Drosophila melanogaster: one gene and its partner. Changing the gene in region 2 together with the main gene of any one other region gives a genetic interaction. Each region holds a gene or a part of one and is shown on either strand. Other genes may lie near its edges.

The links. Genes that interact genetically often act in the same process or in processes that back each other up.
Region 1: of Cyt-c-p (region 2) and peb, changing one suppresses a phenotype caused by changing the other (phenotypic suppression), as found in Drosophila melanogaster (one study listed by BioGRID).

What each region holds. Positions count from the first base shown.
Region 1 is NC_004354.4:4,615,554-4,620,610, forward strand, and holds the start of peb (pebbled), read left to right. Parts: upstream 1-2,010; 5' UTR 2,011-2,510; intron 2,511-4,416; exon of another isoform or gene 4,417-4,421; 5' UTR 4,422-4,440; coding exon 4,441-5,057.
Region 2 is NT_033779.5:16,717,869-16,723,392, forward strand, and holds Cyt-c-p (cytochrome c proximal), read left to right. Parts: upstream 1-2,063; 5' UTR 2,064-2,108; intron 2,109-4,140; 5' UTR 4,141-4,181; coding exon 4,182-4,508; 3' UTR 4,509-4,776; downstream 4,777-5,524. Other genes in the region: Cyt-c-d (cytochrome c distal), read left to right, coding at 1,267-1,584. UniProt on the Drosophila melanogaster protein: Electron carrier protein. The oxidized form of the cytochrome c heme group can accept an electron from the heme group of the cytochrome c1 subunit of cytochrome reductase.

The sequences.
Region 1 (5,057 bases), on a different chromosome or scaffold from region 2:
GTTTGGTTTCTCAGCTGTTTGCATATGGCAAAAATGCAATGCATATCATATCTGGCTGGCTTTTAATGTATATTTAACACGCATTGCCATTACCATCATTATATTGTTGTAATTGTGCTTGGCGTTGGCTGTCATTGTTGTTGCTGTTGTTACTGTGCTTATTGTATTTCTTGTATTTATTGTATTTATTGTGCCACCCACGCGCATGCGCAACCAACTCAAAAAGACAGTGACGCAAGCGACTAAGTTTTCCAATCGCTTTCGATGGAAATTTGCATTCTTTTCGACACTGAATTCCGAAAATAAGATAATTATATATTAATAATATTAAGATCTCTGAAAAATTTGTATGATTACAACATAATTTTGTCACTTTTGAGTGAGCTATAGTTTTTAATCGCTGAACCACTGTGCGAATTTTTCAAGTTCATTATAAACAAAACGTAAATATTATTAAATTGTGTACAAACAGCGCGTTGCACGTGTCGCTGTGCCTTCTAGTGTGTGTGTATGTGTGTGTGTGCGTAGGGGCGCGTGTTTGTGTCTGTGTGTGTGAGTGGGCGAGTGTATTGAACTCTTGCTGCATTTTTTGCACAATTTCGCCGCCTTTTTTTCTGCTTTTGCTTGCGTTGTATTATTGTGCTCATTTATTTTTATTTTTACCTCTGTTGTTACAATTGTTTTGCATTATTTTTCTTTGAGTGGAGAATCGATCGAATGCATCGATTTTTGGATGAGATGCTGAAGGGTTGCTGGTCACCTAATTTACATACATACATATGTACATTCTTTCGGCAGCTGACACTATTTAAAATTGACCTCTCGACGGTACCTAAACACCTATGAGTATCGAAGAGCATGGAAAAAGAGCCTTTATATTTGGAGAACGCTATCCCCAAAGAATCGCAGAACTACGGGCAGCTACATGACATTTCTTTCGGTGCATTAATGTTAATTTCAATGCTGCTTGATTGCTGTATGACGCACCCTGAAAAGGTGAAAGGTGAAAAGAGGGACCGAAAAGAGACTCGATCGTCTCCGACTTCCGTTCTGGGCACAGCTAGAGGTTAAGGTTGAGAAACTGGCCAGGAAGTATCCGCTCGGGGGTTAATGGATACGGATACACGGATGGGGATGTTCACAGCTATGGATGAGCACATATGTATGTACATACATACATACATACATACATACATACATATGTATGGGCATATGTACACGAAGATCTGGATGTGCTCATCGCTAGATGAAGTGCGACAGAAAGGGCAACAAACATGGCCAGCGTGGCCAATGGCAACGGGATTTGCCCAAAAATCCAAAATGCATCCAGACATATGCATATGTGTATGTGGGTGCTACATACAGTGATCACTCGTATAGAAGGCAGAAAAAGTTGACAATTGGAGATTTGGTAGTCTGGCACATTTCTATCCTACATCCGTTGATTTTGTTTCATTTTTTAACAAGATTTCAGACTCATTTCCCGAAGTATTTATTTTGCCGATATTAATACTTTTTTCTAGTTATTGAAAAAAATGGTGACTTTGGTTTAAAGTCCTAGGTCAAACTGAAGTATTCCATAAATATTAAAAGAAGGAAATACTACACAAATAATGCATCTTCGATTAGATATACTTCTTCTACGCTCAGATCTAGTATCGTGCATCCCATTTCCAGTTGTCAAGTGTCCACTGTAATTTCCAATTCCAATGAAAGATGAGTACGGCCCTCTCGCTCTTCCACACACACACACACGCACCCAATGTGTAATCCTATTTGCGCCAAATAAAGAAAAAGAAGAAGACAAATTTGAAACGAAGAATGAGAAGGAAAGAAAATCCAAGCTGCGCTGCCTCCGTTGAAAAAAAAATGAGAAAAACCAGACTGCTTCTCTCTTCTCTCTTTTCTCTTTTCATTTCAAATTTTACGCTCTCGCTCTCGCGGACAGCGACGCCGCCGGCGGCAGCGCAGCGCAGCCGTTGTATTTATAAATACAACTTTATAAATACAACATCAGTCGATTTTCATCTGCCGAATCGGTTGCGCTGCGGCTGCGCTGAGAATAAGATACAAAACTCGTGCGCGGCGCTTCAAGAAACCAACTCAAAAGCAGACAAATCAAATAACTAACTTGTAGAAAATAAAAATATAATAAAACATAAACAGAATTTCTCAATTCTAAGCCTACAAAGAAATATCAAACGCAAACTGCATATTTTTTTCACGTTTTTTTTTTAAACGACAAACCATTGGGAATTTTTGGAATACTAAGCTTTAAGGCCAAAGAAGTGTGAAAAATATTAAGTGAACCAAAAAATAAGTGCTATCTGAATTAAGTTATCTGACAAGAATTAAAAAAAAAACCTACACACTAAACATAAAACACAAAACACCAAAAAGCCACCAAAAATCATTTTTCAACGGGAACCAAGCCTAAAACAGTGCGAAATCCGGAGTTGGAATGCCGTCGCAACTGTTGAACACAATTTCACAACTAAATATCCACTAAGGTAATTTTTTAACAGTGATTGTTTTGGATTTTTTTTTATGTTGTTTCTGTGATTTGTGCGTGAACAATTTGTTGTTGCTTTGGATAAATAATCGAGCGCAGAAAACATGGATTATCAAAAGGATGAAATTGGAAAAGTTATTGGGTCTTCAGCTAAGCTAACATTTTTGTGTTAAATTGTTAAGAACAAAAATTGTTGAATTTAAAATTAGCACAACCGTTTTAAAATAAAATTTAAAAGCTTAGTTTTCAAACACATTTGAAATGCAATTTTTAAATGCAATTGAAGTGCAGCAGTGTTTTAAAATCGACTTAGATATTAGAAATATTATTTAAAAAAGATGAAGTAATGAAAATATATATGCCAGTTTAATTCTTCCGTAAATCGTTAAAATAATTTAATGATCCAAATTCATTATATTCCGATTAAATCAAAAGGAAAATGTTTATATAAAATTATTTTCCTACGATCACAATGTTTGAAAACATTTCAATTCAAGTCCATTCCCAAAACCCCTCCCTTGGTGTTTTGGGTCAAGTTCTGCCTGCAATTAGCCGGGTCAAAAAATTACCCATGACCGATGCTAAAACCCTTGAACTTTGACACACCACGCACACACAGACAGTCCAGTCCGAAAAGCCAGAAATTTCCGTGGTCAGGGATGATGAGGCGACGTTTATAGGGTTTAATTCAGATTGATGATCTGTTTAATATCGCAGGGGTTGTGCTCCATGTCAAACGGTTCACTTCACTCGGCTTGATTCCGTTAGATGGCGATTAGAAATTTGTTTTTTCACTGACCAAGTTGTGTTCATTGATAATTCCCAAGGGTCATAAAGGTGTGAAAACCGCCCAACAATTCCCCGCCCCAAAAAGTATATATTCGGGAGGGAATCTTTATCTCAATGACTTTTCATGACTCATGGACAACGAAATTGAAATCAGCCAACCAAAATGAAAGGCCAAACCGAAAGCCAATGGACAACAAACAACTAACACACATTTACCGAAAAAATTATATGTGTATATGACTGGATGTATGCATGTGTGTATGTATATATAGCGAACAGTGGGCTCGTTATCGGTAGAAATTTTTGATCAGCCTCTGAGGTTTCAGAGTTTCTTTATTTTTGTTGCCTTTCGGGGGGAAGTTAGGATTTTCAAATCGATCCACTACCACCCAAAGAAACAACAACAACGACAACAACTGGGACACCGCTCATAGTCATAGCCTTGATAACGGTAAATGCTAATGAGTGTACCCACATTTTTCACCCACACACCGAAATTCTTGATAAGAGCAGCATTGCCAGATGTGTATTGAATTCAATTCTTCGCACCTTTCTGCGGATGCACTTGCAACAGTCGCCAATTCTTCTTATTCGCTCTTCACAGGAACTCGATTTCAAATAGCTTTTCCGCTTCTGTTTTTTCATCTTTCCGTTGCATTGTTTACTTGCCTGAATCAGCTGTTTACGTTACTCAAGATTTAGTTTAGTATTACGCGACAATCGAAGACTGGAGAATGCAGGGTGCCCCACTATCGATTTTCTGTTATTAATTGAACCCTACACCCAGTTTACAGAATGGAACGCTGTCAGTGTGGATATCATTTGTTTACGCGTGATTTCTTTCCATCTTCAGACTTTCATAAAGCTAGTAATTACATTTTTGAATCAGCGAGTGTTGCAAAACTTTGGTGGGGTTGGACAAAAAGTAATAAAAATACTTGCGATTATAAGTGTTTAGTATATTTGATACACTTCTTTTGTCTTCGAGTTATCTAATTAGTGTCAACACTTGTTCAAGTGCTTCGATTTTTCGATAGAGTTCTTATTACACGTGCTTTATCTATACCCATCTCTAAAAGTCCTTTCTTCTTTTTCTCTCGAATCTTCTAAATCAGCACAGTTAACTAGCCGTTGGAAAAATGCTCGCCGCACAGCAACAGCACAACAACAGCACAGTGGAATCGGAAATGGAGCGCCAGCGACGGGACTCCACCACATCGGAGTCCTCGCTGGAGCATCTGGATCTGGGACGTACGCCCAAAAAACTGGGCGGTAACAGTGGCTCTACACAGACCACATCCACGCCACATGAGCTGGCTACGGTGACATCTTCGCGCAAGCGCAAAATTCGCCATTTGCAATTGAATCACCATCAGCAGCAGCAGCATCACCAGCAGTCGGATCTGCTGAGTGATGAAGACGTGGCGGAGGCGGAGGCGGAGGAGGATGAGGACGAGGAGGATGGCGACCAGGTGGCCGCCTTGGGCTCAAGGAATCTGGGACGGCACAAGCAGCGTCGCAGTGGTGGCGCCACCACACAGGCATCCATTGTGATGGACTACAGCAGTGGCGATGCCAGTTCGCTGCGCAAGAAATTTCGTCTGAATCGCTCGGCGGCCAGTCTCTCGGAATCGGGATTCGTGGACGCCAGCAGCACCACTGGCCACAGTGGCTATCTGGGTAACAGTAGCAGCGCTACGAACACTACTGCGACCAGTGGTATTGGTGCTAGCGCAGTGGCTCCATCTCCAGTCGG
Region 2 (5,524 bases):
CCTTTTTATGGACTTCCGCAGCAATAGATCTAGTAAACAATATAGCCTCCCCACAACCTTTCCGCAGGCTATCTCTTTCCTACTACTACCCCATGTTCGGCCGAGCCCGTTCAAGCGTAATTTAATTTCTTGCACCATTTATTTATAGTGGTCCGGCAAAAGAACTCGGGCCAACAGGCAGGATAGTTTAGCCTGCGGGTAAATTATGGTTCCATTGCCAATTAGGTTAGGTCACAACCAGGATGTCCCATTGGGGATATATGTATGTATGTATGTAGATGGATGCACAGGGAGTACACCTAATACCAGTGCAGGGCTGCCAGGAAAATGTCATTGTTTGGATTTAGAATGTGACATTTACATACGTACGTAATATAAATATATAAATAATATCATTCTCTGAAAAATATCATAATGCACTCTTGTAAATTTAAAACAAATTTAATTTTAAGATAATTGGTTGAGATAAACATAGTTAATATTTTCAATTGATCCTTTAAATTTTAAATTGCAGGTGAATATCATCCCTGTGTGACCGTTGTATGCGGCATGGTTCCATGTCTCTTTCCCGTTATTCATTTCCCTCTGCTTTGTTTTTTTTTTTTTTGGTTTTGTTATGCGGTGGCATCTGTTTTTGCCACAGGAAAATGGTTGAGAGAGGGGAAGGCAGGGGGCGAAAGCGGAGAGTGCGTAAAATGCGTTTTAATTGAAAGGAAATGTTCAAAGCACATGTGCATCTGCTAGTCAACGAATTGGTTGGGAAAGGGGGTGGCAAGCCGAATGTGTCTGCTAATTGAATTACCTTTCGGTTGCTTTTCCCATTAGAAGTGCCGACAAGTTCTCGAGCTGCTTGTTTGCTTTTCATTTAATACCCATTTTGATTTAATTTTCGTTTTTCCTATTTTTCTGACCCAATTTTGTTTTGCTTTCGTGCATTAGCAGCTGTCTCTGTCTATCGCTGTGCAGCCAAGAGAGTGACCAAGAGAAACGCTCTCTCTCTCTCTCTCAGTTGTCCAGGACTTGCACTTTTCAAACGGTTTTTTAGGACACTGAAACAAATTGAATCTGTTTTTCTTTTCTATCAAATTTTTAGTTCTACACTTTTCTTTTTCATGATAGTTTCGGAATCAACCAATTTCTATTTGATCCAAATTAACAAAAAACAAATAACAAAAAATTAAAAAATATAGAAATAAAAGCTGCATAAAAAGTTGAATTCTAAATCATAAATATCATTTTTCCCTATTTGTCTTTCAGGCTTCCAAGATGGGTTCTGGTGATGCAGAGAACGGCAAGAAGATATTTGTGCAGAAGTGCGCCCAGTGCCACACCTACGAAGTGGGCGGCAAACACAAGGTGGGCCCAAATCTTGGCGGGGTCGTGGGTCGCAAGTGTGGCACAGCAGCGGGATACAAGTATACCGATGCCAATATAAAGAAGGGCGTTACCTGGACAGAGGGGAATTTGGACGAGTACCTCAAGGACCCGAAGAAATACATTCCCGGAACAAAGATGGTGTTCGCAGGTCTTAAAAAGGCTGAGGAGCGGGCCGATTTGATTGCCTTCCTCAAGTCAAACAAGTAGAATCGCCTGCGAAACAACAAGATCGGCCACCATGCTATCCAGAAAACTGCGCTTAAAGACTACAAACATATTCAAAAGATGACGTATTTCACTTGGATTTCGAAACTTTGATTGGGAATGGTCGAGCTCAAATACATTTCAAAAAGGTTTACTTTCACTTTAGCCAATTAAAGTTGATAAACCAAAAACCCTCTTCTTAATTCAAGTTGTGTGCGACGCGGGTGGAGGAAAGTGTTGTACCAATCAGCTTTGGTCACAGTTGGTTTTATGGTCCTACTAGCAAAATGTAATAAATTGGAGAAGCTTGTTAAATAATGCAAATTTTCCAGAGGCTTTCCAATATAGTCCCGTTAATAGGGGAAAAAATTACTTATACGCCGTGTGGTGGATAAATACGGGTACAAAAGCTTGCGACATTTTTTAATGCGTGGCCCCCGGTCACTCTGGTCACACTAATTACCTATCGACATAACGCGCGCTCGTCATTCGTGAAAAATCGGCGACGCTCGACGTTTGTGTTCAATGTAAGTAGTGGGTGGAATTTTTGTATTTTCAAGTGACGTAAATATTACCTTGAATAGTTATTGATTATCAAGCCCCAAGTCAGATAAAGATTAGAAACACTTCCGTGTCATTTACGTAACATCCAGCAGCTGTGTTTTGTTCTGAAAATGATTCGCATGCAAATTTAACGTATTCTTTGGGGGATGATTCAGGTTACATAAACGTGTCCTTGTGTGTGTGTGTATAAGTGTGATTTTTTATTAGATATTTAATAGTTTATTTAGCAAATATTAGCAGTGGTGTATTAATAGTAAAAATAGCATCCCAAAGTCACATTGCCATTGAAAAAAGCCCCGGAGAGAGTCGATTACATGAGCAAAGAGAGTGGCGTACCCGATCATCAGCTGTCTCGCTCGCTCAGTGGCAAAAATTAATTCTTGGATTTTTTGTCAATGCTTCAGCTTTGGAGTCTTTAAGCGCGCCACGTGGTTGCTAAGCAGGTTTTGCTTTCTGCGATGTGCAGTTTTCTATAATATAAATAAAAGAGAATTCACCTCTGCGAAAAGGCGGCTTATGTAACATTCGCTGCTCTCAGGAAACTTGGATGTTGGCCCAATTTTCACTCATCTCTTTGTTCTCACCACCTTGCTCACCCACACAAGGAAAAACACAGCTGCCTTTGGCCTGCTTCCAATTTTCCAATTGCACTTTCCCTTCATCTCACGCACACTCACGCACGGCAATTAACTGAAAAATACTCAACAAGGCCAAATCGGATGTTGACATTGTTGTTGCTTTGCCACCTCTCACTGCCAAAGTGCATGATACTCTACACAGAAAGAAGTGAAAAAAAGGTTGATATTAAATGCAAATTATGTGTAAAAGCGCACAAAATCAATAGTCTATATATATTAGGTTTGTTTTTATAGACAAATGCATATAAAATAAAATTAGTTTTCTAGAATTGAAAGAGCTTCAGCTAATCGAATTTCTCTCAGTCTATGTGCGTGATGTGTAGGTGAATTACTCACCGCAACGGTACTTTGCACTCTCAAGTTCAAATTGCTGCATGCAATTTATAATCCGGCAATTAGCAGGATGACCGTAACACAGACCCTGGAATAATAGAATAGTTATGTAAACAACTAACGTTTTTCGTATTATGATGCTTCCTGGAAGTTTTCCGCCTGTTGCTGAGCAGTTCTGACGCAATTAATCGGCGACTGGCAAATATAAGCGAGTGAGACACAAAGAGAGTGTGAGAAGGAGAGAAAGAGTGTGGGGGCAACATGTGACCAGCGTCTGAAGCTTTTTCAAAGTGTGTTTCTGATGACGTTGCGACGCCCTCCACGCGCGTATTAGTGAGAGCAAAGTATGTGGGTTAAAAAGGGGGTGGCCGCAAATGGAAATGCAGACTACGTTAGATAATAATTTCGGGCCTTATCAGAAACAACAGCCGACTAATGCACTTAGCATGAGCAATTTTAATAATTCCGTTTCCGCAGGGAGCTTATCAATTGTTTACATAACGGGGCAAGGGGACAAATATTAATTCACGGTCCATAACTACCTACATTAACCCATTATTTCCCAAGCATGGAAATTTTTGATGATATAAAGACGTTATTATTTTAATACCTTAAAAATATATAATATTATATAAGTAACGTTGGGAAATCAACTGGTTAATAAATTTTAAATTTCGGGTTTATTTATTCAATAATCTTTTGATAATGTATGGCTGAAAGTGAAGCTTTTATCAGTATCTACACAATGGTTCATTGGGGCTAATAATAAATGGTATCAAATATCGTATAACTATTTTTTGCAGTGAAACCAGAATTTCGGACTAAGTACATAAGCAAATGATATAAAATATATATTGTAATCAATTTATCAGAATAGAACAAATTAATTGGTAGCAGTTATGAACTTTGAACCATTTAGTAGCCAGTTTTTTAAGTTTTTCAAACCTAAGATGTAAGATAACAGATATATTGGTTACCCTTGTTTTATGAACCACTCATTAATAACAAACATTTCTTTTTACAGTCGAGTCCGTGTTAACACATTAATTAACCACATAATCCATAATGGGCGTTCCTGCTGGTGATGTTGAGAAGGGAAAGAAGCTGTTCGTGCAGCGCTGCGCCCAGTGCCACACCGTTGAGGCTGGTGGCAAGCACAAGGTTGGACCCAATCTGCATGGTCTGATCGGTCGCAAGACCGGACAGGCGGCCGGATTCGCGTACACGGACGCCAACAAGGCCAAGGGCATCACCTGGAACGAGGACACCCTGTTCGAGTACCTGGAGAACCCCAAGAAGTACATCCCCGGCACCAAGATGATCTTCGCCGGTCTGAAGAAGCCCAACGAGCGCGGCGATCTGATCGCCTACCTGAAGTCGGCGACCAAGTAATGGTGCTGTCCATCAACTTACCCACAACCACTGCAGGATGTCAAACTGTATTATTGTGTTCAGTCACAGTCCGGCACGCAAATGCAGCAGCAGCAACAACTACAACTACAAATCAACATAGTACAGACCTAAAGAACTACAATTATGTTAATTATAAAGTTTAAATAGGACAATTTATTATTTAATTTAAATAAAAAGTGGAATATTTAATTCAAACCCGATGAGAATTGTGACATCCACAAAAAAGTTAAATAATAAAAAAAGAACTAAAAAATGATATAAAATCTGTTTTATGCGAGGACCTGGTTTTTGTAGCTCGCAGGTCAAAAAGAATAAAAAAAGCTTCTTCAGATTTTTGACTCGGGCAACTCAAATTAAAAATAAGAGATACCAATCATATTTATAAAACAATTGTCCTGGCAATTTCTATCAATAGGTATCTGTTAGTCGTCAAACTCGACTGCAGCATACTCTTTGCGTCTGTCAAAAATGTTGTTGGCTGATCTATATAGGCCTTACTCATCTGAGTCGCACAAAGATGACCACAAATCATCCTGGGTTGCTGCAAATTCCTTAGTTCATTGCGTGGAGGTAGACATCACTAAAAACATCCAACAAAGAAAGAGTCGATACGTTACGCAGAAACATCACAATAAGATTGTATTACTGAGAGAGAAAGTAGAAAACTATTAGGGTCGAAATGCTCTCTTAATGCACATTCTATTTGGCCAATCGTTAAACAAGAATACACTGGTATTTTTATATTTTTTGGCTAATTTATGTATATTTTCTTTTACACTCCCAAAATTGTATCATACATTTTAATAACAACTTTATTATGCAATACATATTTTTCGTTTTAATTATGCTTATTTGATTTATTTTTTTTTTAATGAAAGAAATACTTGATAGGTTTATACAATATATTTTTTGTTTTCTTTAGTTTCGTTTTTTGCTTAGATGTGGATGCGCAGATGCGACTATATAAACGTAAGAAGCGCATATCATCTGGTTTA